Macaca fascicularis: one gene and its partners. The protein of the gene in region 5 interacts with the protein of the main gene of each other region in a pairwise test. Links are inferred from orthologs where the notes say so. Each region holds a gene or a part of one and is shown on either strand. Other genes may lie near its edges. The genes, in order: PRKAA1, CCDC102B, NTAQ1, RAD23B, PNMA5, CSTPP1 and TBC1D22B.

The links.
Region 1: the proteins of PNMA5 (region 5) and PRKAA1 interact in binary tests that used the Homo sapiens proteins (3 or more experiments, as listed by UniProt). The two-hybrid records come from large-scale screens. The link is inferred for Macaca fascicularis from reciprocal best matches to the Homo sapiens genes PNMA5 and PRKAA1.
Region 2: the proteins of PNMA5 (region 5) and CCDC102B interact in binary tests that used the Homo sapiens proteins (3 or more experiments, as listed by UniProt). The two-hybrid records come from large-scale screens. The link is inferred for Macaca fascicularis from reciprocal best matches to the Homo sapiens genes PNMA5 and CCDC102B.
Region 3: the proteins of PNMA5 (region 5) and NTAQ1 interact in binary tests that used the Homo sapiens proteins (3 or more experiments, as listed by UniProt). The two-hybrid records come from large-scale screens. The link is inferred for Macaca fascicularis from reciprocal best matches to the Homo sapiens genes PNMA5 and NTAQ1.
Region 4: the proteins of PNMA5 (region 5) and RAD23B interact in binary tests that used the Homo sapiens proteins (3 or more experiments, as listed by UniProt). The two-hybrid records come from large-scale screens. The link is inferred for Macaca fascicularis from reciprocal best matches to the Homo sapiens genes PNMA5 and RAD23B.
Region 6: the proteins of PNMA5 (region 5) and CSTPP1 interact in binary tests that used the Homo sapiens proteins (3 or more experiments, as listed by UniProt). The two-hybrid records come from large-scale screens. The link is inferred for Macaca fascicularis from reciprocal best matches to the Homo sapiens genes PNMA5 and CSTPP1.
Region 7: the proteins of PNMA5 (region 5) and TBC1D22B interact in binary tests that used the Homo sapiens proteins (3 or more experiments, as listed by UniProt). The link is inferred for Macaca fascicularis from reciprocal best matches to the Homo sapiens genes PNMA5 and TBC1D22B.

The regions. Positions count from the first base shown.
Region 1 is NC_088380.1:41,061,020-41,064,519, forward strand, and holds part of PRKAA1 (5'-AMP-activated protein kinase catalytic subunit alpha-1), read right to left. Parts: intron 3,081-3,500; coding exon 2,594-3,080; intron 2,483-2,593; coding exon 2,356-2,482; intron 862-2,355; coding exon 617-861; 3' UTR 1-616. UniProt on the Homo sapiens protein: Catalytic subunit of AMP-activated protein kinase (AMPK), an energy sensor protein kinase that plays a key role in regulating cellular energy metabolism.
Region 2 is NC_088392.1:11,861,966-11,866,039, forward strand, and holds the start of CCDC102B (coiled-coil domain-containing protein 102B), read right to left. Parts: upstream 2,801-4,074; 5' UTR 2,699-2,800; exon of another isoform or gene 2,428-2,698; intron 1-2,427. UniProt on the Homo sapiens protein: During interphase, forms fibers at the proximal ends of centrioles to maintain centrosome cohesion. During mitosis, dissociates from the centrosome following phosphorylation to allow centrosome separation. Contributes to CROCC/rootletin filament formation.
Region 3 is NC_088382.1:133,061,078-133,065,346, forward strand, and holds the start of NTAQ1 (protein N-terminal glutamine amidohydrolase), read left to right. Parts: upstream 1-1,469; 5' UTR 1,470-1,513; coding exon 1,514-1,596; intron 1,597-4,269. UniProt on the Homo sapiens protein: Mediates the side-chain deamidation of N-terminal glutamine residues to glutamate, an important step in N-end rule pathway of protein degradation.
Region 4 is NC_088389.1:50,796,609-50,800,108, reverse strand, and holds part of RAD23B (UV excision repair protein RAD23 homolog B), read left to right. Parts: coding exon 1-82; intron 83-2,862; coding exon 2,863-2,998; intron 2,999-3,500. UniProt on the Homo sapiens protein: Multiubiquitin chain receptor involved in modulation of proteasomal degradation. Binds to polyubiquitin chains.
Region 5 is NC_088395.1:159,084,105-159,088,040, forward strand, and holds the start of PNMA5 (paraneoplastic antigen-like protein 5), read right to left. Parts: upstream 2,801-3,936; 5' UTR 2,503-2,800; exon of another isoform or gene 2,489-2,502; intron 2,309-2,488; 5' UTR 2,187-2,308; coding exon 840-2,186; 3' UTR 1-839.
Region 6 is NC_088388.1:18,908,257-18,912,490, forward strand, and holds the start of CSTPP1 (centriolar satellite-associated tubulin polyglutamylase complex regulator 1), read right to left. Parts: upstream 2,801-4,234; 5' UTR 2,722-2,800; coding exon 2,676-2,721; intron 1-2,675. UniProt on the Homo sapiens protein: Regulator of the tubulin polyglutamylase complex (TPGC) that controls cytoskeletal organization, nuclear shape, and cilium disassembly by balancing microtubule and actin assembly.
Region 7 is NC_088378.1:134,396,958-134,400,926, forward strand, and holds the start of TBC1D22B (TBC1 domain family member 22B), read right to left. Parts: upstream 2,801-3,969; 5' UTR 2,655-2,800; coding exon 2,599-2,654; intron 2,476-2,598; exon of another isoform or gene 2,344-2,475; intron 1-2,343. UniProt on the Homo sapiens protein: May act as a GTPase-activating protein for Rab family protein(s).

The DNA of each region.
Region 1 (3,500 bases), on a different chromosome or scaffold from region 5:
GTGGTGGCACGCGCCTGTAGTTCCAGCTACTCAGGAAGCTGAGGCGGGAGAATCACTTGAACCCGGGAGGCGGAGACTCCAGCCTGGGTGACAGAGTGAGACTCTGTCTCAAAAAAACAAAGAGGGAGGGATATGGAAGAAGTTATCTAGACTGTTAGTACTGCTGGAAGATACTAGCTATTTAAGAAGTTAAGGAGCCCAGAAAACAAAATCACCTATAAAGGTCTTGAGAATTCTAGGCAAATATTTATTGAATAAATTTATGAAGCAAATATATAACATGTAATAATATATGAAGGCCTTTATGTAAATTAATATTTTCAAAGCCCTGTGTACACTAAATATAAAATAGCCAAAAATCAGGTGAGCCTGAGAGACCTATAATTCACTGTGTATATTATGCTATATACGTACTGCACAATGAACAAAATGATCTTAATTCATTTCTGCATATTAGCTTTTAACTATAAATCATGTTCCAATCCCTGTGCAAATTGCATTTCAAAACGCCAGCCCTCAGTTATAATTATGTATAACTTGATTACAAATGGAAGCATTTGGCTATGACTTATTATGCATGCTTATTGCTACAAAAGAAATAAGCAAAGTTTTCTGTTTATTGTGCAAGAATTTTAATTAGATTTGCACACATCTCAAAAAATTCTATTGTGTGACTTCCAGGTCTTGGAGTTAGGTCAACAGGAGAAGAGTCAAGTGAGGTCACAGATGAGGTAAGAGAAACTTCTGAGGATTTTCCTTGAGCCTCAGCATCTGAATCACTCCTTTGGCAAGATCGATAGTTGCTAACTGATCCCGATCTCTGTGGAGTAGCAGTCCCTGATTTGGCTTCTGTAATTTCATCTGGGTAAAAAGAATTTCAATTTATTATAGTCTATGACCTTCTCCCAAAAAGTTTTGTAACAGTATTGTATTTGCTTCTTTAAGTGGGGCTGCTGGCCAGCTATCAAGAGCACGTTTATTCTAAATACCTTCTAAAATAGAGTCAATGAGCCTGTATTAAACTATTCACCTTTTTTACATTCAGTATGTATTCTCAAGATGGCTAATCAAAGTTGGGTACAGTATAGCTACTCATCAGCTGCAATCCAAGGTTAAGAGCCCAGTAAACCAACAATCTAGGGATTAATAAATATTATTCTATAGCAATAAAATGTAATCCCTCTATACTAAAATCATAGAATCAATGCACTTCAAATTTGGGAGGTATACTCGAAACCATCTCATCCAACCCCTCACTTTATTGATAAGACAACCAGAGAAGTGACTTGCCCAAGGTAACAAATGAACAAAAAGGTAAGTCTAGAACCCAACTCTCCCAATGCTCGGCTTAGTACTTTTTACTTTCCACTTTCCCTTCATATTTCATTTAGTATTTCATAAAACAGCAACAATTCCAATGAATAAAAATCAAAGAACAACTAAGGTTGGGAACACAATACAAAAACAAAAATGGGCATTCAACTGGTATACCCCAGTACTAGTAAAACTAAGGTTGCAAATTTGATCCAAATACAAGAAAAATAAAACACATTCTGTGTTTCAGATTTCAGACTGCATTACTATATGTTAGCAGATACATACTATATAGACCTCAAGATAACCAGACAAACTGGTTTGGCCAACATATCATGCCTCAAACCTGTGTCTTTCTGCTACTATGTGTATACTATCTTTTAGTTTATAAAGAAGAAAAAATTTCATAGGTGAACCTCATCTAATAATTCTATGCAACCTTCCATAAGCAAAGGTGATACTATATATATTGTTTTTTTAATATTTTGTAAAGACACAGTGTCACTATGTTGCTAAGGCTGGTCTCAAATTCCTGGGCTCAAGCAATCCTCCCACTTCAGCCTCCCAAAGTGCTGGGCTGTTTATAGGCATGAGCCACCACACCTATGCTCAACACTGTAGCTTAATGCAACTGAATTGGCCGATGAAGAATTGCCGTAACTTCATTCTTAACTGAAAATTTATTTAATAATAAATAAAAGCTTACAGAAGAGTCAATATTTATTTCTAAATAAAACATTTATCTTACCAAAATGAACTACACCAAAAAAACAAATGCAGCAGAAAACTATCACCTTAGGATCAGACTTCACCTGGCTTTAAGGATTTTACAAGATGATAATCTTAAAAGGACAATATGCTATAAGACTACAATAATAAGATTCATAAATGTTAATATTGCAAAGGCACAAGAAGTCACATTTTCTATTCCTTTGCAGTTGAATTACTAGGAACAAGTCAAGAAGCCTCAAAAGAATCAAAGAGTAAAATATCAAGTTAGTAACAATGTCTAATCTATGTTGTTTTGTGTGACGTACATACCATCAATACTACGGAAATCCAGTAGATAAGTTCTACTATCCACCTGGTATAACTGTAGACTCATTTTGGAGTAAGTGCTTGTCACAGGATTCTTCCTTCGTACACGCAAATAATATGGGTTTACAACCTAGCACATGGTATAACAAAAACCAAGTCAAAAGTAATTCTTCTATAAAACATTTTATAGATGGTGGGTTTGCCAAATATGCTAATAATCAAAATGTTATCTCTTTCTTACCTTCCATTCATAATCCAATTGTTTAATTGCTCTACATACTTCTGCCATAATATCATTTGGACGACTTTGACTTCTAATTCCTAAATGCCATTTTGCTTTCCTTACACCTTGGTGTTTGGATTTCTGCGGATTTAATTCATCAAGGGTATGGCGTGCCCTTGGTGTTTCAGCAACCAAGAATGGTACTCTTTCAGGATGGGGCCGAGACAGGTGATGATCATCAAGAAAAGAATCAGGTGGGCTTGTCGCCAAATAGAAATCTTTGGCTTCATTCATTATTCTCCTGTTATCTATTATGAGATGGTATGCAACTGCCAAAGGATCCTGGTGATTTCTGTTATAAAGACAGCTGAGAACTTCCTCTTCTGAGCACTCAAACTTTTCACATACTTCTTTTAAGGCTTCATCGTCAATCATGGTTGAACTATATGATGGATCCTCAGGAAAGAGATACTTTGGAAGGTCCTGTTTAAACCATTCATGTTCCCTGAGAGAAAAAGGCAGGATCAGGAGAATGATTTTGAATACAGCTGAGACTGAAAGTAAGTTTGGGGAATTTAGAATATGACCTAATTTATATTTATACTCATACTGTATTACTGTCACTTTTTGCACTGAAATTTTCCTCTTCTAGCTCGCACTTCATTGTGTATGTTGAGGAAAATGCTCCAATCTCCCTCTGGTTTTAAGAGAGAGAATGCACTGATGTAGCAATGGGGGGAAAAAGTTATGGGACAAATGACAATGACAATGACAAAGAACAGCTTATTTCCAGCTTAGAAAGAGAACATATTAGGTAGCTTCATTATAATACTCTTTTGATATGTTAAGTGAAAATAATGTAACAACAAAAATAGTAGACAACTATTGAGTACTTACTATATGCTAAGTTTTATGCTAAACACTT
Region 2 (4,074 bases), on a different chromosome or scaffold from region 5:
ATGAAGAAAAACATGTTAATAAATAAGATCTATTCTTTTTTACTTTGAATATACTGTATTTTACACTATCTATTACAATGTGAATTTTATATATGCTTTTCACCCATTGAAATGAAACTTATACAATGCCTTTACTTGATAATAACTTGGTGATTCCATAGTTTTAAGACTATTTGGTCGCTGTGTGTTTGTTGATATCACATATCAAAAAGAAACAGAGGAAAGTCAGTGCATCCCCAGTGTCATTCCTGGCCACCTCACATGTCTCATTTGTGAATAGGTAGTATTCAATGCAAATCAGTGATGACATTTTCTCTGAGAATGCAAAAGATAATCTTCTCTAAGTAGATTTAAGAAAATGTAGGAGATAGAAAAGCATAAGTGTTGAATATGAGAGCAGCTAATTTAAATGTAAAAATTACCCCTTATTTGCAGTGTCAGTCTCTCTTCTCTCAATTCCCAAAGGAAATGCGTGGCCCAACTGACAGAATGGTGATTGGTCTGGATTTATAGAATATTGGAATGGATCTTTGGACTGTTGTCTCACTGCCTCCTCCCTGCACCCTATAATCCCGATGTCCACTTCAAACCATTCTGCTTGACTTCTGCCAGATTCACATTCCTAGAATACCAGTACAGCATAGTGGAAATAGCGCTGGAGCCAGAAATACATCTGAAATTCTGGTTCCCTCACTATCTTTATCTGTGGCTTTCAGCAAATCATTGAACATTTCTGAACATCAGGTTCCTTCATGTGCAAAATGAAAATAATGTGTAAAATATTGTTCATTTTATTGCATAGTTATAAAAATTGTGGATATGTATGTAAATCATCTTGCATGCAGCAACTGCTATTATGTATTGGCAAAATGATGATGATGATGGTGATGGTAATGATGATGAAAAGAGGCACAGAAACTCCATCTCTTTTCAGAAACTTGCAATTGGACCCTTTGTATGATATGTAAAGACCAAATTTTTCTGTGTGAAATGTTAAGATGCTCTATAAATTTTTCCTGCTCTATGTATTGAGTACAATGTCTGCTACTCACAAAGGCATATTTTTTCTGCTCCAATCAATGAATTACTCACCGTTCTTTTGTGCTATGTGCTAATTCATGTTCAAAACCCTTTTTGCCAATTACTTGTTCAAAGTAGAGTATTCCTCTTGCTTTCAGCACCTATCCAAGTTCTACTAGTTTTTCAACACTCAGTTCAAGAAGTTGAACTTTTCTTTAAAGGCTCTGGCATCTCTTTAGGACTGATATACCTGCTAAAAAGGGAATTTCTGAATATTTTGGCATTATGGCAGAATTCAATTGGTCTTGTAATATCAGCATAAGAGATATGATGACCTGAGATCATTTTTTGTATTTTAAGAATTACAGCCATAGTTTTGTGGCTCTAATAATTAGATAAAACAATCATAAATTATTTTGAAGCCACGCCCATAGTGAGGCCCAAAAACTATGTCCCAGTGATCAAGCAATTATTGACTCCAATGATAACATATGAAGTATGCAAAAGAGAGACAATGAAATGATCTATGATTTCATAAGAACATATGAGATTTTGGAAAATAAAGCAATTCACATAAAGCATTTTTCTGAATATTTTCAAATACATCACACAAACCTACATAGATACTGTGTCACTAACTTATAAATATTTCTCTCTAATTTATTGTTTTCATTAAAATATGAAATAGAATTCAGGAATATTTACTGGATATATAAGAATATTTATTGTCAATAACATATTTTACTAACAAGAGAATATTTACTCAAAAGTTGTAATAACACTATTTCCCACAAAAATGATAGCAAAAACACATTCACATTATTTTAGAAAACAGAAAAGCTGGCATTGATGTAAATAAGAACATCAATAAATACTTTATATATTTTGGTGCCTATGTTACTGACATATTTCTAATTACATTTTTAAAGAATCTTTCTTATATTGAATAAATGTACCCACTTGACACTCAATTGATAATTTATCTTTGCAGAAAACATAAGCAAATGCTTCTCGATGGTTTCCAGAGATTTTTTTCAGTTTTACAATTTATTTCTATATAACTAAACATCATTGTTATTATGCACAGGATTTTATTAGTTTATTCTGTATCCCTATCTCCTCCACATTATACACGTAACACGTAAAGAAATCAATATTCGTGCTAAGTTTGAAATATACTTTCCATTAATGAATACAATAATTTAGCATGAAGACTCAACAAATGAAAAGAACTCAAGGCACATGAGGCATAGATAGAAAGGTTTTCATAACACTTTTACTTTTTTACTGTAAGAATATAGATTCCTTCAAACACAATGACTAATTCACATTCATTTGGAACTATGAAACAAAATTTTAATATCAACATACACTATTGCTGTCTAAATGTAGAGTTGAAATTCTTACCTGAGTTTGGCTTAGTATACAGTTATTTTTTAAAGACAGGAAATGTATGACAAATTGTCAGGATGATAACACCCACAGTGGAAAAATGAAAGAGGAAAGGAAGAAATCACTTTAAAAAGAAACTCCAAATCCTTCTGCTTCCCAGCTCTACAGTAGTTTTGCTCTGCATCTTGTAAGCAACTGTCTTTGCTCCGAGAACAACACATGCTCTGCCTCAGCAGGAAAATATAAAAATTAAATAGAAAACCACAAGGTTATTAAACACTCTTACCCTCTGGGCTTGCTGGGCTGCTCCAGCGTCTCAGTTGCAGCCACATGTGTAAACAACAGAATTTCCTGCATCCTTTTCTCATCTGTACAGTTCTGGAGTCCTAGCCAACAGGATTATTTCCAGCATTAAGGGCACTCCACACAAACTCAAAAAAGATTCCCATTGGTTGTGAAATTTTATTGAAACCACTACCACAACCCCCTCTTTGGATCACCATTGAGCCAACCAAAATAAAATCATTTTTAATGTTCCCTAAGTATGGTTATCCAAAGCTTTCCATGCAAGCATTTGAAACCTGTACTGTGGATGAAAAAGAAAAAGACACCCACGCCTTCATCCCCAAGTGTACTTAATGTTTAATTACAACAGTATAACTTGTAATAATAATAGAAAAAACTAAAATAGCAAAGCAAAATAAAAGCCTAGAAAGTACCTATCTGCAAAATATTTAAAATAATTATACTGCAGATTACAAGAACAATATAAAATATTCATCCAATCTGATTTGCATTAGATTGCACAAAATCAAAAGCAAAAGAAATCATATTTAATAAAAGATTTGAGTATACAAATTATGAAACAAGAACTGTATATCAAAACCCTTGATCGTGGTCACATTGGCAGGAATGTGAGCTGTAGTCCCTGGGGTGCCCAGTGAAAGCTCCCTGGCTTTTTCCCCTTTCCCTGGGGAAAAAGAATATGAAGTAGCTTTCCAGTGACATGACTCGGCTGTCAGGAGGTGTTCTGATGGGGGTTGTCGGGGGAGGTCAAAGACCGCATAAAAGAGAGCTTCTGTGGTTGAAACTAGCAGTAAAAAATGTCCAAAGTAGAAAATAAAAAGTCAAAAGGTAACAGGATTGACTTGCTCCTTGTAAGTAGCACAAAAACAACATGTGAAATGTAGGCAATAATGTCTTCAAATTGTTTTATTTTTCACCCTTCCCTAATTTGTAGGCTTATTCTGGTGTTATCGTCTATCTCTACTTAATATTCTTTTCCCACTTACTTTCTGATGCAATGGAAAAAGTGGCCAGCTTCCTATATAAAGCCAACTGACCCATTCGAGCTAAACTTAATCATGATTCTCGCTCCTCTATCTTTGAACATTCCCTCTTGTCCGGATTTTCCCCACGAGATGTTAAATCCCATACATTCCTTGGTCAATTTCATGTATGCCGATGAACTTTACTTTCAATTCAGTCATTTTCACTTTCAGGTACCATTCCTTCCATCATGGCCAAATGATTGAAAGTTCTCCAGCCAAGAATTTTATTTAGTCTTGCATCCATCTGATTTTAATTCATCAAAGTGACTACACACACATACACACACACACACACACACACACACACACATGCATGCACATAAATATTCTA
Region 3 (4,269 bases), on a different chromosome or scaffold from region 5:
GTATTAGGAGCTGAGAGGCAATAAAATTGGTAATTGACACAGGAACTGGGCTCAAAGTCTTTAGGATTTATCGGCTTTGGGACTCAAGAGATTGGAAAATCAGACTGTGGATGGCTAAAATCAATGTAAACATCTCAGTTTTTATAATGGGAAGTACCCTGATTAGCGAGTTATCCTCATTGCAAATAGAAACAATTCAGAAGACTGTAAAGTGTAAAGTCCTTGAAACTGAAAGTCCCTGATATTAATACTATTCATTCACCATAGATAAATTCTATTTTTTTTCTTTTTTTGAGACGGAGTCTTGCTCTGTCGACCAGGCTGGAGTGCAATGGCACTATCTTGGCTTACTGCAACCTCCGCCTCCCGGGTTCAAGCGATTCTCCTGCCTCAGCCTCCCGAGTGTCTGGGACTACAGGCGCGCGCCTCCACGCCCAGCTAATTTTTGTATTTTTAGTAGAGACGGAGTTTCACCATTTTGGCCAGGCTGGTCTCGAACTCCTGACCTCGTGATCCACCCGCCTCGGCCTTACCAAGTGCTGGGATTAAAGGCCTGAGCCACGGCGCCCGGCCCTAAATACTATTTTAACAATATGGTGTCTTTTCTTCCAGACTGCCAGTAAATGAACAAACACATGATTAACACAAAAAGGATACCATATGGACTCTTTAAACTTTTTTTTTCAAATTTACTATATCAGGAAATTAATATATCTTTTCGAGCCAATAGATATAGGTCTTCCAATTTAAAAGATTAAGTTACAATAGAGTGAGATTTGGGGTGCTATCCCTTTCGGAAAGCGTCCTCGATGCGGTCATATTGGAATTAACCTCCACTCCCCTCCTCTTCTCTGGGCTCCCGCGGACTCCAGGCTGAGTGCTGAAGTGTGGATTTTCACACCCAAACCTCTGTTATTTCAGTGTCTCACCTGGCTTCTCCACAGCGCAGAAGCTCAGCCCCAAGTTGGAAGAGCCTCCCCGGGAGATTCACAGCGAAGCGCTATTCAGGGCCCAACTCCAAGCCCAAACCTAGCTCCACCCTAAGCCGCCGCCAAAGACCCCTCTTCTCCCAAACCTCACCGGGGCCCCGCCCCTGACTCCGCCCACGAGAGCCCAAGCCTCCAGTCCTGCCCCACCCCGGGCTCCACCCACCAGCCGGGCTCCGCCTACCCGGAAGCACGCAGTCCTCCTCGTCCCGGGCTCCGCCCACCGGGAGCTCTCGCCGCTCACCCCACCCCGGACCCGCCCACTTCGCTTGGGCTCCACCTTCCCAGGAACTGGCGCCGCTTGCCCGAGCTCTGCCCATTTCGTCCCGGGCTTCCCGCGCTGAGAACTCGTGCTGCGAGCCCCGCCCACCGCGCTCCTGGCCCCACCGCCCGGAAACTGTCCCGGCCGCCCCGGGCTCCTCCCACCCCGCCCTGAGAGCCCGCGCGGGCCGCTACACGCCCGCCCTTTCCTACGTGTGGTCCAGTCGGTCTTCCTCCGGCGTCGGCGCTGGCCGAGCTAGCTGGCCATGGAGGGTAATGGCCCCACTGCCGTCCACTACCAGCCGGCCAGTCCCCCGCGGGACGCCTGTGTCTACAGCAGCTGCTACTGGTGAGGGGGCGCGGGCGCAGCCTCTGGGTCTCCCAGGCTCCCGGGCCGCGAGTTGCAACCAGGCCCCGCCTCTTCCCGGCCCCTGCTCGGGGGCGCTCCCGGCCTCTACCGGCGGGTTCTACAGTTCTGCGGGAGTAGGGAGCGGGAATGGCAGCTCTTGTCTCTTGAGTAGAGCGTGGGCTGTTGGATGGGGTTGGGAATTCGTCCGGAATCCTAGGGTCGATAGTGCATTACCTGTGCCTGGCGCTTGTCGGTTGGATTTGCTCAGCAGATCTCTGCTTCGGGGCTAGGAAGGGTGGAGCTCTGAAAACCTTTGGAAGTTACTCTGCTGAAGCATGTGGGGTTTCAGACTGAGGCGAAGGTCATTTTAATTTTGGAAGAGAATGGAAGCACAGAGAGTTTGGGATAACTTCCCAAGGTCACCCAGCTAATAGCAGCCAGGAATCCAGTTCGGGCTCTCTGGCACCAGAAACCATGATCTTAACCATGTTGTCATTATAATAATGGTTACATTCACACAGCACTTGCTATATGCCACGCGTTGTTCTGGGTGGTTTAGGTAAACTAAATCACTGAGTATCACAATAACCCTAAGAGGTAGGTATTGTTATCCCCAGTTTAAAGATGAGAGCACTGAAGCACAGAGGGCTGCAAGTAATTTGCGCAGGGCCACATCACTTGTGAATGAAGGAGTGGGGATTTACAGGCAGAGTCTGGCCCCGGAGTCCATGCTCTGCACCCCTGTCCTAGGCCACCTCTGCAGCTGAAGCACCGCCCCTGCCTTGGTCCTTTTTCATTCCCATGCCTACTCTTTCCTGAGTAATGGTTTCTCCCCCAGCTTCTAGTCCTTGCACAGGAACCCTCAGTGCTATCTAAAACTACCCTTCCCCCTTCTGCTTGTCACTAAATCAATGCCACCGAGCATTTGTTCGGCCCTGATTGCATGTCAGGCTCAGTGGCAGGTGCTTCCATCGATGTCCATGAGTAGCTTCTTTTACTATCGTTATCCTCATTTTACTAATAAAAAGAGTGAGCCACAGAGAGGCTGTTGTGTGCCCCCAAATCACACATCTAGCAAGTGGTGGTGCTGAAACTGGAACATCTTCGTGATTTTGAAGTTCATGCATCTTAACTGCTGCACTCTTTTTCTGTCCTGCCTCTTCTAAATCCCGTTAGTTCTCCTCCCTAATGTCCATTGTTTTATTCATTCATTCAATAAATGTGTATTAGGCACTTGGAGTATGTGGCCCACTTCTGGGCACTGGAGATACAGCAGTGAACAAGATCGACAAATTCACTCATGGATCCCTTGGTTCTTGTGTTTTGATGAGAGAAAAGCAGATAAGGTCCGGTGCGATGGCTCACGCCTGTAATTCCAGCACTTTGGGAGGCTGAGGTGGGCGGATCACTTGAGGCCAGGAGTTTGAGACCAGGCTGGCCAACATGCAGAAAGGCTGCCTCTACTAAAAATACAAAAATTAGCCAGGTGTGGTGGCACACGCCTGTAATCCCAGCTACTCGGGAAGCTGAGGCAGGAGAATCGCTTGAACCCGGGAGGAGGAGATTCCTGTGAGCCGATGCCACTGCACTCCAGCCTGGGAAACAGAGCGAGATTCCATCTCAAAAAAAAAGGCAGACAAAAACAAGTAAACCATGTTTGGGTGGTGTTAAGTGCTGTGAGAAAAATAAGATAAAGGATGGTGGCTTATTTTCTATTAGGATATTTTGAGAAGACATTGTTGATAAGGTGATATTTGAACAGAGATCTGAAAAAAGAGGGTGAGAGCTTTGCATCTATTGGAGGATGGTCATTTAAGCAGGGAGAACAGCAGGTACAAAGGCTCTGAGAAGGAATTGTGCTGTATGATAGAAACAGTGAGGAGACTGGTACAATTGGAGTATCAGAGTTAGAGCAGTCTTGTAGAAGAATGGTAAGAGTTGACCACTCTACCGCAGGATTTCTCCGCCTAGGTTCGAGTTGACATTTTGAGCATGATAATTCTTTGCTATGGGGGCTGTCCTGTGTATTGCAGGACATGTAGCAGCGTCCCTGGCCTCTACCCACTAGATGCTGTTAGCACCCTAGCTCTAGTTGTGACAACCAAAAATGTCTCCAGACATTGCTAAGTGTCCTGTAGGGCTTGGGGGGCAAAATCGCCTTTTGCTGAGAAACAGTGCTCTACCCTGTCTGAACATGTCAGGTGGGGGCACTGCACTACTTTGGCTCCTGCAGCTTTGTGGGGTTTTTTTATTTTTGAGACGGAGTCTCAGTCTATCACCCAGGCTGGAGTGCAGTGGTGCCATCTCGGCTCACTGCAACCTCTGCCTCCCAGGCTCAAGCCATTCTCCTGCCTCAGCCTCCCGAGTAGCTGGGACTACAGGCACCCACCACCATGCCCGGCTCATTTTTGTATTTTTAGTAGAGATGAGGTTTCACCACAGTGGCCGGGCTGGTCTCAAACTCCTGACCTCAGGTGATCCACCCGCCTCGGCCTCCCAAAGTTCTGGGATTACAGGCATGAGTCACCATGCCTGGCCATCCTGCAGGTTTTTAAACTTGAAATGAGTGCCTCCTGTCTACTTCTGTTAGCTTCTGTCATGTTAGCTTCCAGATGTTACTTATGCTTCAAGACCCTGCTTAATGATAATAGTGGCAGTTGGTATTTGTTTGGG
Region 4 (3,500 bases), on a different chromosome or scaffold from region 5:
GGGCTATGAACGAGAGCAAGTAATTGCAGCCCTGAGAGCCAGTTTCAACAACCCTGACAGAGCAGTGGAGTATCTTTTAATGGTGAGAAACGTGTTTTACTTTACTTCATTCTAGTTGTTTAAGATCAAAATCTCAAAGAAACAGATTTTAAAGGACCACTTCACCTGTATGATATATGCTAGATGATACACAGTGCTTTTTTTTCTAGTATGTTTGTATTTTGTGTTAATAAAATGTAACCTTTTTTAATATAGTGGTCCAGCATTGTAGTAGCTTTTTAGGTACCACTGTGCATGAATTATTAAGAACAAACATTTTAAGCTTGAGAATTCGGGCCAAATTCTTTTGCTTATACTATGTATATATCTGTAATAAGTTGCCAGCTTTTTAAAATCTGGGAAATTTCACATATAAGTACAGATTTCTGGTTTATCTGGACAACTTTGGATCCCAGATTTTTGCAAGGGATTAAGGAAAATATTTTAGATCATAGAATCTAATTCATTATCCTCTGATTCACTCTGTTACCAATGTAACATCACGCATTTAACGAATGATGTTACTTACCTGGTTCCGTTAGCATTTGAATTTGTTTTTATAGTCAGTAGGAGTTGAGGGACTTTTTGAATAAGGTTTTCTTTTTTTACCGGTAATGGGAGTTTTTGAGAAATAGATTGTTGTGGACATTGACTGAAACACTTGGTATTAAGATGAAAGTCTGCTAGTTTTACAGATGTGACACAGGCTAAAGTAATTGAATTAACTTTTAAGAAATCTTCTATTCTATAATTGTCTGCTGTTTTGGAGTATTATCGAAGTCTGAATTGCCCTAAATACCATCTTAGAGTTGCTCTTTTTGTATCTTAGAGTTAACTCTTTTGGCAATTAATCCACAGTTTAACCCATTCCATTATGTCTAGGTTGTCCTTTGTGTCTAAGTTGTACTTCTGTTAAAAATTCCTTTCAGGTAGCTGGCTAGTTTCAGAAGAGTCAGTTATAAGCCTCATAACTGTACTCGGCCTCCACCATTTATTTGCCCATGCATTTGGATGTGAAGTTCACAAAACCTTTTCTTAGCATATTATTTTATCTTTTTAAATTCACTTTTTCATTGTCTTCTTGAGTAGTGTCTTTAAATGCTGGCAGTTTATCCAGTTTGTTTGGAATTCTGGAATTAATTGTTGTGAATTTGTTTGGTGAGGGGTGCATACCCTAAACAGATTGTATAAAAGTATTAGCTTTTATGGAGTGGCTTTCATTTACACTTGATTTAGAATTCTGCATAAGTTCAACGGTATCAGTTATTGTGATCTAATGGATGTGGAGTTTTGAGGTATAAAAAAAAAGAATCATTGTTACCAAAGTTGCCAAATGCTAAAACTGCTGTATAGCATCAAATGCAAATAAATAGATGAGTCATGAGTTCATCAAACATTTTATAACTAAAATGTTTTTTATATGTTTGCTGTTTGTTTCATAGACTGGAGGGGAAAAGTTGCCTTTAACTGTTACTAGTTAACAGATAAGGTGAATGGGTGGAAAGAAGAAATGTTGAGCACTTATCTAATAAGAGGCTATGTAACATGTGTGAGAATAGAGGTTGATCTGTAGCAATGAAGATTAACTTTTTAGTTTTATAAAACAGAATTTGATGGACCCTCTGGATCCTAAATTTGTATGTAGTTTGTTAGCACTTAAATAACTGACCATCTAAGTTAAGGGTTTGAAATGATGAACTCATTCAAAAACATTGGTTTTAATGCCTGGAGTGACATCTAATGCATGCAGCCATTTTCCTGCTGTGTTGCCCTTCATCCTTTATATGTTGTTGCTTTTGGCTTCTAGCTTATTAGGAAATGGAAGCATTTATCATCTTATTCAATTGTAATACTTGGTTCTTTATTCTCTTCTTTTCAAAATCTATAAGAACTTGATAAAGACTTTTTTAAATTTTTAAATGACAAGTCTTATCAACACATGTGCATCAAAATAGATGTCCCAAAATATTTTAGTGCATGCAGTTTTAAGCTCTTAATAACTTTAAAAGATAAGTACTATAAACTTACAAAAGGCATCACCTAAAAACTAAATGGTTTCAGTTTATTTTAGATCAATTTTGTGCATTTTGAAAAATTAAATTTTTGGAAATACTTGAGTAGCTCATATTTATGAGATACTTTGACACTTTCTCAAAGAAACGCTTTATTCAAAAGTATGTCAAATTTATGAGATACTTTCTGAGTGACACTTACTCAGTACCATGGATCAGTAGAGGAGATCCTCCTGCCTGACCGCTGTATACCTGGTCTGTATCCATTAGATATTTTTTCCCCAGGAATCATTTCAGAACTGTCAAGTGTGCATCAAAAACTCTTTTTTTGGATTATCTTAAGCCCGGGTTGCAAATTCAATCCTTTTTGTTACTGAGTAACAGCTGATGAAGATTTCTAAGAAGTTAAAAAGTCAACTGAAGTAATAGCTGGCACAAAAACCTTTGGTTATGTTCAGTTTTAAGAAGGTACATGTATCAGTATTTTTCAAATTTGACGCCAATTACGTGTGCCTGGTAGGCATCTTATTGGACAACACAGGGAAAATTTCCATCATCATGGAAAGTTCTGCTGGACAGTGCTGCTTTGCATTATTACAGCAATGTGGGTTTTTCTATAATGCACACAGGTCATTTCTAATCTAATTTTAATCCATGCAGCTTAATAATCCTTTACTTTTAATTGAAGCAGACGTCTGTTTGATGCTTTTGAAAATCAGACAAGATGTTAAATAGACTATAAATCTTTTACTCTGTATAATATTAAATTTTGCCTGAAGGGATATCTTAAAGCTTGGAAATTCTGTTATAGGGAATCCCTGGAGATAGAGAAAGTCAGGCTGTGGTTGACCCCCCTCAAGCAGCTAGTACTGGGGCTCCTCAGTCTTCAGCAGTGGCTGCAGCTGCAGCAACTACGACAGCAACGACAACAACAACAAGTTCTGGAGGTAAAGTGGAATCTTTTGGATGGAGAAGGAATGGCCCTGAATTTTTACTGTAAAATGATTTAATCTGAAATACTTCAGAAATGAGGTTCATTCCCAGAGCAGCTGAATGATTCATTAAGTTCTCTCTTCACTAATGTTTGAGAAAGGCCCAAAAGAAAGTCTCCCAAGTGGATGTAAAAGGTATCCTTGCTGATATTAAACATCAGTTGCAGTTTTGTCAGAGGGCATATTCTGTTTTATTTGTTTTAAGGAAAAGATGCTTTCCAGTTTGTATTTAGTGTTACTTTCTGATGCTGTTCAGAATGGTTTGCTCACTTTGTCTCGTAACTCTCTCCATAAATTTTACAAAGTGTATGTAATTTCAAAGCCAGCAGGATTTCACTAGTTAATACAACCAAGGAAATGAGACCTTGAGAGGTTTCAAACCTTGTATCTAGAGGAGAAAGCAGAGCTTGAATTGAAGTCTCCTTACTGGGGTACTGACCATACCCACACATTGCTA
Region 5 (3,936 bases):
CTACACCGGCAAAGCAGAGGTGGAGTTCTTGACACGGAACAGCAGTGAGCAGAGCCTGGGCCTGGTGATGACGCAAACCAAAAACAACTACCCACCCCCAACAAGTCCTCTCTTCTCACACTTCTTCCTCCTCCTTCCCCTCTTCCTCCTTCTCCTCCCCCTCTTCCTCCTCCTTTTCTTCCTGCCCCTCCTTATTCTCCTATTCCTCCTCCTGATCATCCTCTTCTTAATTCTCCTCCTCTTTCTCTTCCTCACTGGTGCAGGGGGTCATGAATGCTGCCTTCCTGGGGCTCCCCTCATGCAGTGTAAATGATCCTAAAGACGGGCTGGACCCTGCAGCCTCCCCTGCCGGGCTTCACTTCTCCCCCACAGCTCTTCCTCAGCAGCCCTGGCTCCTTCTGGCAGAGGCAGGCCCCAGGCAGGCTCCTCCAGGTCCCACATGGCCTGGGTGCCAGTGGGCATTCTCAGCTCAAAGTTCACAGGGTGGATATTTGGGGGTGTCCAGATGACCAGGCCAGAGCCCCCAGCCACACCGTCTTCAGCCCCTGCTTTGTTGGGGTCCCCATCTGAAGCCCAGCCACCCCCTGTGCTAAGTGTAGCTGTTCCCTGCTTGTGTCTCCTATACCTGTTAGGGGCCATGGGCCTGGCCCCCACTGAACCAGATGCTATTTGGTCTAGGTTGGTGAAGTCCCTTCCAGCTGGTGGAAAGTAAAGGGGCTTGATCTTGACCTGGCTTCCCTGTCCCTCTGCCCCAATCAAGTTCCCTGTTAGTGTAAGCTGCCCTTTGTTCAAATGTCCCTGCTGCCTGCCAGGGGAAGGAGTGCTTGGGTCTTCTGAGCCTATGTTTCCCAGGGCTTGGGATGGCTCATGGCCCCAGCCCCTGCCTCGTTTCCCGACTCCTCTCCTGCAGCCTGTGGCCCCTCCCTGCCTGGAGTCTGGTTTTCAGCCTTGGGATACATGGCCTGGCCATAGTCTTCTTCCCTAGTGCTTTCACTGCACGACAGCCGCCTGCGTTTCACTAATGGGGGTAAGCCTCCCTGTACAGTCTGGGTGCTGCTGTCGCTCAAAGACCTTGCCTGCACGGTGGCCTGAGGTGCAGAGGCACTGGCTTCTGCTCTTGCCTGTCTACCAGAGGCCCCCCGGCCTCTCCCTGATGGCTTCTCCTTATTCTTCATCACTGCCTCAGTGTTCTCCCACTCTTCTTCATCTCGAATAAGCTTCATTAACTCCAGAAAATTGGGAGGACACCCTCGCTGATCCAAGAGCTCCAGCTTGCCTCTGAGGGCGGGGGTCATGGAGACCCGAGCTAAGAGATGTTTCAGACGAATCATGTCTGCGCTGCGCACTGACAAGGGGCTCTTCTGCACTGCTTTCTGCAGCAGGGGCTCTAAGCGCAGCAGGAAAGTGGAGACTTTCTCTCCAATCTTCGGAAAGGTCTGCAGAAACTTAAACTGAGAGGCTCTGAAGTCCTCTTTATCCCCAAAGATCTGCTTTAAGGCGTCAAGGCACTGCTCCACAGTTATGGAGTCATTGTTGGCCTGGAGCACCCGCATGATTGACAGAGCAGGCCCTCGTAAGCTCTCCAGCAAACGCCGTCTCTTCTCCATCTCAGACACTTGCCATATGGGCATTATCTCGGTGACCTGCTCTAGCCAGTCTTCAAAGGTCTCTTCACCTGGGCTAGGGGAAGCAGTTCCCGAAAACACTTTCAGTTTCCGGTACCACATACTTTCTTTCAGAGGCTCTAAAGGTGGGGGTCTAACTTGGGGTACGACCTCTGCATCCAGGCTCTCGGCAGGGAGGCTGCAACATCCCAGGGCTCTGGCCACATCTGTCATACTTCGGCCCTCATCTTTCAGGAAGTAGTTCAGTCTAATGAGAAACTCGTCATCTGGGTTACGGGGTTTTACCACCACTTCCCAGGAGCCCCCCTTTCCTGGTATGTGACTAGGCAGAGTAGTGTAATCGACAGTGTCAGCCAATTCAATGAAGACTGCCTTGGCGTTGTCTTCCCTCCTGAACATTCTCCCTAGCACCCTGTATGCGCGCAGGGGCTGTAAGCCTGCCTGCACAGTGTCCTGAATTTCCATCTCACTACACTCCACGGGGATGCCTATGATCAGCAGGGCCTTTCTGGGGTCCATGTCCATCCCCTTGCACCAATCCTCTAGCAGTGTCAATGCCATTGCTCCCACTTTCTATGGACTGATCTAATACTAGGGCAGCAATCAGCTTAGTTTGACAGCACTCAAATAACTCTGAGCCACTGCCACGTAGGAAGGTAGAAGTGGTCCCAGGTTTCCACAGCCTGCAAAGCAAATGGGATGAGAGCATTGTTAATGCCTACCCCAACCTATACCCCCAAGCACCCCTCCTCTGCCCCCACCCCCGAGCAGGGATGGAGTCCCTTCTTCCCAGGGTTCCCCAAGTTATTTTGGGGAGGGTAGAGGGTGGAGGTTCTCCCCAGGCAAAGATCTCCTCATCTCACCACTCCCTGCTGACCTCCTCCTGCTGTGGGTTCCTCCTCGAAGTCCAGAGGACTCTGCTGTGTGTGCTTCGGGTATCTGTAGTGAAAAGGCCAAAGTCAGGAGGCAGGGCCTGACATCTGGGGACACTGACAAGCTCTCCAGGCGGAAGAGGGCAGGAGACGGCCTCACTGCTCACTCAGGGCTATGTGGGCTCAGGTCACCCAGCACCCTCCTTGCTGGAGTGAAGGCTGGCAGCAGGAGAGGTAGAATGGCCCTCTTTCTCAGGAATGCCTGACAGATGAGAAAGATGGCCGAGCTCTGCGCAATGCAATGAGAGTGGTGGGTGTGGAGATTGTGTGACAAGCTGCAGTGTTGCCATGGATACAGAGAATACCATGGACCATGGGTTGCTATTGCAGGGGAGTGTCATGTGGTAAGGCTAAGGTCCTTGAGAAGCAACAGGTGATGTCATTGGCCTCCAACCAATAAAGCTTCCCAGCAAAAAGGAGGGTGGGAGAGGGAAAGCGAGGTGGGCTTGAGGAGTGAGTGCTGAAAGGACAGGAGCTCATGGTTTCAATTGTGTGGAAGCTGAAATCAGGTAGAAAAGGGACCCTGATGAGGTCCCCACTGCCAGACTGCAGGAAACCAACAACTCTTGCCCTAGAGATGGCCCTACCCTGCAGAGTCTGTGAACGCTGGCAGGCAGTCCCCTCTCCACACTCTTTGCCGGGGTTCCAGAGACCCTCCCAACAGGGCCCACCTCACAGCTGCTCACCTTTCTGGGTTGGCCCTGCTGGCAGCGCAGATGCTGCAATAACACAGTCACTTCAGAGTCGCTCTGCTCTTCAACTCTATCCAATTAGGCAGTTCCTGACTCAGGCGTGATGGTTCCTGCTTCCCTGGATCTGTCCAAGGCAAAGCACAGGTATTTTGCTGTGATTCTGTCCCACACACATGTCCCTGCTCAGGCCATGCCAATTCAGATTCTGCATAGGTGTCCACTAGGACCCTGGTGCAGGGGTAGAAGAAACTGCTCAACTGGCAGAGGGAAGAGGAGGGGGGAAGGGGGGAGGGGTGGGGGGGAAGGAGGAGTGGGGGGAAGAATGGCGAGAGGGGTGGGAGGTGAGGAGGGAGGTGGGGGGCGGGGGGGCTGCTGCTAGGGCAGAAGGGATCCTAAGGTAAGGTTGCAGCCCCACCCCCACTGCAAACTTCATTCCCTCCCAAGCCCCACCCCTGCAGCCATGTTGCACCCCTTCCTAAGCCCCACCTCAAAACTTGCACGCCTGCTGCCAAACTCTGCCTACAACTAAGTTGCACCTCTACCCCAAGCCTAGCCCCCCACCAAGTCCAACTCCTTCCACCACCCAAGTCTAACTCCCGCCTCAAGCCCTGCCCTCACCCACAGTCCAACTCCTACCCCAAGCCCTGCCCCCTCACCAAGTCCAACTCCTACCTCCATGCAAGTCTA
Region 6 (4,234 bases), on a different chromosome or scaffold from region 5:
GTGTGTGCATATATATATAATATATATATATATATGTTCATGTATATTTTTGTGTATATATAGCTTTCAAAGACCAACAGCCCTTAAACTTGGTAAAAAGACACTCGACTTCATTTAACAATACACATTAAATCTACTCTGAGACTATTTGTCACTTAGATTGAAAAAAATCCAAGTTTGATGTATTTTGTTGTCAGGACAGTGGGGAAACAGGCATTCTCTTTCATTGCTGGTGGCAAAATGGTATAACACTTATGAAGGGCAATCTGGCAATATCTATCAATACTTCAATGCATATGCCCTTGATCCACCAATTCCACTTTGTGGAACTTATTCTTGCCTGGCCTAAAAAATATTTTGAATCAAGTTTCCATATTACCAACCTTAAAAAATATTTTAAAATTAATTTTTAAAATAAATTAGACAAAATTTAAAACAGAGTTGTTTTTCATTTAAAAAGATGTTGGTCGGGCGCAGTGGCTCACCCCTGTAATCCCAGCAGTTTGGAAGGCCGAAGTGGGTGGATCGCCTGAGGTCAGGAGTTCAAGACCAGCCTGACCAACATGGAGAAACCCGTCACTACTAAAAATATAAAATGAGCCAGGCGTGGTGGCGCATGCCTGTAATCCCAGGTACTAGGTAGGCTGAGGCAGGAGAATCACTTGAACCTGGGAGGCGGAGGTTGTAGTGAGCCCAGATCGCGTCATTGCACTCCAGCCTAGGCAACAAGAGTGAAACTCCATCTCCAAAAAAAAAAAAAAAAAGAGATGTAAGCCAGGTGCAGTGACTCACACCTGTAATCTCAGCACTTTGGAAGGCCACAATAAGAGGCTTGCTTGAGCCCTGGAGTTCAAGACCAACCTGGACAACATAGTGAGACTCTTGCTCTACAAAAAATTAAAAAATTAACCAGGGATAGTGGCATGTGCCTGTAGTCCTAGCTACTTGGGAGGCTAAGGTAGGAAGATCACGTGAGACCAGAGGTCGAGGCTGCAGTGAGCCGTAATAGTGCCACTGCACTCCAGCCTGAGTGACAGTGCAAGACACTGTCTCAAAAAAAAAAAAAGAAGAAGAAAAAAAAAAGATGTGCATGGTACATCTATACAATGGAATTATTATTCAGCAATAAAAAGAAATGAGCTATCATGCCACAGAAAGACATAGAGGAAACTTAAATGCTTACTGCTAAGTTAAAGAAGCCCATCTGAAAAATTTACACACTGTATGACTCCAACTACATGATATTCTGGAAAAGGCAAAACTTTAGAGACAATAAGATCAGTGGTTGGCAAGGGCTGCAGGGGGAGGGAGAAGGATCAATAGGTGGAGCACAGAGGATTTTTTAGGACAGTGAAATTATTCTGTATAATGGAATGGTGAATACATGACATTACGCATTTATCAAAACCCACAGAACTGAACGACACAAAGAAGTAACCCTAATTATTATATATTATATATTATATGCAATAATAATACGTCCATATTAGTTTATCCAGTGTAACAAATGTACCACACTAATGCAAGACATAAATAATAGGGGAAACTGTGAGTGAGGGAGACCCAAGATATATGGGAACTCGCTGTACTATCTGCTCAATTTTCTGTAAACTTAAAACTTCTCGCACGTGCGGTGGCTCACTCCTGTAATCCCAGCACTTTGGGAGGCCTGAGGCGGGCGGATCACGAGGTCAGGAGATTGAGACCATCCTGGCTAACACGGTGAAACCCCATCTCTACTAAACACACAAAAAATTAGCGGGGCGAGGTGGCGGGCGCCTGTAGTCCCAGCTACTTGGGAGGCTGAGGCAGGAGAATGGCGTGAACCCCGGAGGCGGAGCTTGCAGTGGGCCGAGATAGCGCCACTGCACGCCAGCCTGGGCGGCAGAGTCAGACTCCTTCTCAAAAAAAAAAAAAAAAAGTGTATTGTGTGCATATGTGTGTGTGTACATATCCATGTGTATGTGTGCTTTTTTTCATTCATTAAATGCCTTACACACTAAAGATGCTCAAGAAAGTATACATATACAGTCTTAGCTCAAGAGCTAAGTCAGTATCTCAAGTTCTGTTGGAGTGGGCAAATCCGGTTCTGATCCTAGTGCTACCATTTTCTAGTTGTGTGGCCTAACTTACACAAGTTATCTCTTCAGCCCCAGTTTCTCCACCTGCAAAACTGGAAGAAAACACGGTAATTCCTCCTAGGGCAGTTGAGAAATTCAAATGAAGAATAATGCATGTAAAATGCTTAGCACAGTGCCTAATGAAAAAGAAAAGCTCGAAATGTTCGCTGTCGCCGCAATGGTAAGACAGTTACTCACGGAATGACTGATCTGGCACTTGAGGTTCCAAGGTTATTCTTACTACACTAACAGCAGGTCAATAATACCCCAACAGGGCCCCAAATCCTCAACTCCAACCTGACCCACTTTGAACCCAATCCACATTGCCTGAGTTCCAGCCCCTACACTTCAAACAATTCTTTACTTCCCAGGTGCTTTTCTCCTTCCTACTCGGCCTTACAGGTTCAGGCCCTAGAACCCCCGCCTCTCCGCCCCTCCCAATACCACCCGGACCCGATCCCACTCAGACCCGGCCCCCGCCCCCGCCTCCTCCCAGACCCCGGCCTAATTCGTCTGCACGTCTTTCCCTCCCCAAAGTTGAAGGGGGGTTCCTACCCAGATACTCGTAGTCCGGTAGGGCTAGGCGCTCCGGACTCAGCATCCTTTGACCGGGGTGGCTTCAAAGCTCCAGCTCTCAGACTTCCGGAACCCAGGTTGCAGTCTTTCTCCGTTGCCATGGCACCCACGCGGCGGAAAGGGGACGGGAGCTGGAGGAGGTGTCACACAAACAGTCTCCGTGTCTCAAAGTGGAGCTGGCCACTCAAGTTCCGGGGGCAGTCGCCTCACGACGGTCCAGGTTTCTTTGGACTCCCATTGTTAAAGATTTGGTTTTAGAGGAATCTGAGATGAAGAATTCTTTTGAATCCATTGTTTCCCGGTGTCGAAGAATTACTGTCAGCCGCCCATATACGCAGGTTCTGAATTTCATAAGTATCCCTGCTTTTATACACTGTTTATCCTAACTCAATAATAGCCCCCGCCCTTTGGCCCCCATAAACACTTAGTATCCCATTACCTATTTTTATCTCTTTGGTATTTACTATCTTAAATTGCTACAAAGTGCTTAGGTATCTTTATACCCTGGCTGCTTCTAGAGGTCAGAGATGTGTCTTTTCTGCCTACGACAGCTGGACACACAAAAGGTGCTCCTTAACGCCTCTGAGATAATTGCCATTTCTTCTCAATTCTCACTCCGTTGCCCAGGCTGGATTGCAGTGGCATGATCTCGGTTCCTTGCAACCAGCGCCTCCCGGGTTCAAATGGTTCTCCTGCCTCAGCCTCCCGAGTAGCTGGGATTACAGGCGCACGCCACTACGCCTGGCTAATTTTTTGTATTTTTAGTAGAGACGGGGGTTTCACCATGTTGGCCAGGCTGGTCTCGAACTCTTGACCTCAGGTGATCCGCCCGCCTCAGGCCTCCCAAAGTGCTGGGATTACAGGCGTGAGGCACTGCGGCCCGGCCTCAATTCCTTTTTATCTTTGGTTCTTCTTTCTATTCCTAGCCCTCACTATTTGGTACCCTTCCCAGATGTCTTTCCTTTTTCCTACCAAGACATTTCTCTTCTTGAGGGGGAGGGGATGCAGAAACGACATCACCAATTAGGTTTTTTTCCCCATATGCCCAATTGCTCACTTCTCCTTTAAGAGAATATTCTTTGGTTTTCAAGTTCCCAAATATTTTTTTGTCCTTTCCTACTCCTGACAACAGGTCAGAGATCTGTAGCACTCCACACAGTTCAGTCATAGCAGAAAAAGCCAGTCTGTCCTCACTTTTTTGGTGCCCTCCCCCTCCAACAAGGTGAGGTTTGTGAAAAAGAGACAAAGAAAACAAAATCAAGCTATCAAAGGAATGACTGGGAAACCAGTAGACCACCTACACTGGGAGGAAAAGGAAAGAGGAGGTTCTTCTCTTTGTGTTCCAAGTGGCCTATTCTTAGCCTCCTCCAGCAAGGAGCCTCAAACCTCCTAATTCTTGCTTTCCCTTAAAATTGTATATGTGTCTCAATTCTAGGCTCCTGTGAGTCACTCTAAGTTTGGATGTGGTGAGGATAAAAGGACAGAGCCAAAGTAGGAGCGGGGCTTAGTGTCTTGAGGCAAATTTACTAATTTGGTAT
Region 7 (3,969 bases), on a different chromosome or scaffold from region 5:
AACAGGTATGTAGTTTCTTTTCGGGATGATGAAAATGTTTTGAAATTAGTGGCGATAGTTGCACAAAACCATCTGTACTATAAATGAATATACTAAATACCACTGAAATGTACACTTTAAAAGAATGAATTTCATGGTATATTAATATCTCAATAAAGCTGTTATTTTTAAAAAGAACGTTTCATTCATTTGTAACTTGTTATTTTATGTAATAAAATTTTTATTTGTTGTCACTAAGGTTGTTGGATCATGATCAGACAGAAAGAATCTTGTCATCGCTTTGATTTTTCACCTTTCAATTTGCAATGAAGAGTAAAGCAGTTTCATTTCCAAGTTGCCATGCGTCTAGTACAGTCATTTGTGTCATTTCCCCACCCAGGAGAAAGTTTTTCTTCCCTAAGACCGAAAGAGTACAGATGCAAAAGTTCTATTCTTGAGAAAATGCTCTAATATTTTCTTTAAATCAAAGTACCTTTCTATCTAAAAGAACCTTAGTTTTCTCCCACGACCAGAGGCTTGTGGGCTTTACTGCTAAAAGCACACAGCTGAAAAATATTTCTCTTTACCAAGTAAGGTACTAAAAATTATTATGAATTGTGACAATATTTGAATACCTTAAAACAAACAAGGAAGACAATGAGCTGGGGTAAGGATCTGAGTAACATTCTTTTAAATGTTTACTTGCTCTAATAATGACAGTAATATTAATAACTACTGTCTTCTGAGCAACTATAATGTGCTAAATAAACACTGTCCTAGGTTCTTTACAAATAGGGTATTTCACTTAGTCCCCACAGTAACTCTGAGGAAGGTATTTTTATTTCTCATTTCATAGATAAGGAAACTGAGGCCTAGATAGATTATTTGTCTTGGTCACACACACAGGAGAGCCCAAATAGTAACCCAAGTCTTTCTGAACTCAAAAGTTCTCTATTTCTCTATATTCTTCGAAATGAAAAGGGAATCCAGAAGCTTGAAGAAACTGAAAAGACTTCTCTTCCTATCTCAGAAAAGTAGTGCTTTAAAAAAGTTGACTGTTCTTATAGTCAAATACAGGAAATACAGGAAAAAAAGATTGTTAATAGCAACCACCAGTCAGAAGGCACAGAAGCACATCTCTTGCACTGCTTCCTGATACAACTGTCTTCCTATTGATTCTGATTATAATCTTAGGATGTCAAAATTTAATGATCTCACTATGGAAAACCCCGGAGAATAGCAGTTAGCACAACTAGAGAGCTCACTAAACCAGGAAGGAAAAGGAATCAGTTGGCAGGAAGTGGTGCTTACCTAAAAACACAGAACATCTTTAACAGTTATATCAACACCGCAAGTCCGCAGCACTTTAATCTGAAGTTATCTTTCTATTATTTAATAAGTATTACTAAAAGCTGATTTCCACCTATTTTCCATATGTCTACTAGGATCCTTAATAAAACAAGACTCTTGGTGGGGCATGGTGGCTAACGCCCACAATCCCAACACTTTGGGAGGCCAAGGCAAGAGGATCACTTGAGGCGAGGAGTTACAGACCAGCCCAAACATAGTCAGACCTTATTTCTATTTCATTGGGGGGAAAAAAAAAAAGTAAGGCTCTAACTTAGCCACTATTGACCCTCATCTCCCTCTTGCTTAAAAAAAAAAAAAAAAAAGTCACGAGTTCAAAAGATCATCCCAGAAAGAAAAAACCTGAATCCATTAGAAAAGGTAGCACGTGGGGCACAACCAAACATGAATTTCATCACCAAGTAGACTGTGGCTGGCAGAAATCTTAGATTCACGACTGAAATACACACTCTTCCTTATACTTCTCAGGACTTTGCCCAAAATAAACTGAAACAGTAAACCAACAGTAGACTGATGAATGGATAATTTGCCAAAAGTCTCAACATACACCACAAAGAGGGTGGGAGTAGTCTTAGGAGGTCTGCTCTCCAGCTAAACAACTGAAGAATGAAAGAATTTAGTGCATTTGCACAAGAAGTGCATTACAATACAGGGGAGGAAGAAGTCACTTGGGGTTGGACAAATCCTTAGAAAATGCCAAAGGAATAACCTGATTCTGTGGTCGCCTTGTAATAATTCCCAGTGGGAAAGGCCAACTCAAGATAAAGTAAGGTCGGAGTTGAGAATTGTCCTCACTTTTCCTGCCTAACCCTCTCGGCAGGCGACCCCAAACTCCCACAAGAACCCTTCGGGTAAGTGCCGAGCTGGGGGAGCAAGCCATCCTCGAGCGACCAACCACCTGTGCGTGGTGGAGACCCCTGAGAGGGAGTCCTAATTAGAGTGGGAAGCAGCTCTGGGGAGGAACCCCCGAGACCAGGGCCGACACTGACTACTCACCCAACTCCACTCCCCTTTACGCCCAATCTTCGGCCACCTTCTCGCTGAGGTCACCCCTCCAGAAACCTCCGCCCCCAGACCCCGGTCTACACCCACATCCAGCCGTCCCCAAAGCTCGCTGTTCGCTCCTCTGCCTGACAGCTGCCCCAAACCAGTCTTCCGGCCTCGGTGGCGCCCCAGGGCCGCGGGATTTAGGGATTAGGATCTGGAAGGGTTTGGTCCAATACCCTCTCCCTCTCAGCGTCCTGGGCTCACCTCCCCGGCAGCTTAGCGCTCCTCTTCCAAAACTGCTTGCTGTTGTCAGCGGCCATTGCTCTGGCAGGGGGAAGGCCTTGTAGGCGGGCCAAGGGGTTGCCTGGCGAGATGCCCCCAGACCCCGCAATCTGAGGGCCAACCCAGGCCGCTTCCCCGCCGCCGGTCACCCGCTCCCAGCTCCTAGGGACGCCATCTTGGATGTGGGCACCCCTCCACCCAGCACCGCTGCCATTGGTGGGCTGCGCAAGCCGTGGACGGGCCGACCAATCGGGAGCCGGAATCCTGCAGGCCGCTGAAGCCAACGGGTAACGTCAGGGTCTGGGCACACAGGTGGACGGGGAAGGCGGAGCTTGGACGAGCAGAGAGGTGGGGCTCAAAGTTCCTAACCCGCAAGAGGGAAGAAGCAGGTAAAGTAAGGGACCTATGGGAAGGAAGAGAGGGGATTATCTTCTTCGTGAGGAATGAAGTTCCTGAGTCTAATATTTTTTGGCAAGAGAGAGCATACTATGTATTTATATATAGGAATATTTGACCTAAAAGTAAAGGCCCATGTGTTTGTTGTGGCCCATTTTTAACATCTCTCAACTCAATGACACTCTGGTTATTACCCTCCCTTCCTCGTTCCGTTTAGATGTCCATTCGTTTTTCTGAAGGTCAGCAGGGACCCGATAGCCCGGGATTGCTAACTGCTCAACACGTGAGCAACGGTTCATCAGAGTCTCCCTCTCCCTCTGTTTATTGAAAACGATTGAAGGACTTGTGCTGTGGGTGAAAAATTCAAATGATCTAATCCCTATGTCAATCCATAACTCTCACTTTCTGACTATGCTAACGGTGTATAGGAAATGGTTTATCATAGCTGTCCAACTCAGATTACCAAATACGATTTCTTTGAAGGACACAGTATAGCTCCATCGTGTGAATCACAAAGTTAAGGATGTATCTCCTCCCGGCCCCACCAACATCCTTAATTTCCCTTGTTAATCTGTTATAAATCTTGCACCCTTGAATTTATTTTCAATCTAATTTTCCCAGACAATGAGATTTAATATTAGCATTTTGAATCCTTTGAATGTCTTGTCGGTGTTTTTTGCTGTTTTTGAGTTTCTGTGGTTGTATTCCGTGGTGATTTGGGGAGAGAGGGAAAGCGGGCACCAGTCCAGAGTGGTTTTTGTCCCATCGAAGGACTGTTGAGGTGGGCTGCGTGTCCCCCACTCCCCCGCCACCCTCCATTTACAGCTACCACATGTACTTCCACATATTGGAGAATACATAAAGACCCGACCCCCGACGGGTATGTCCTCCAACGACGGTTTCTACATTACTCCCATTTTCAAGCTTCTTTTGTCCCCTAATTTTAGAATTATAGGA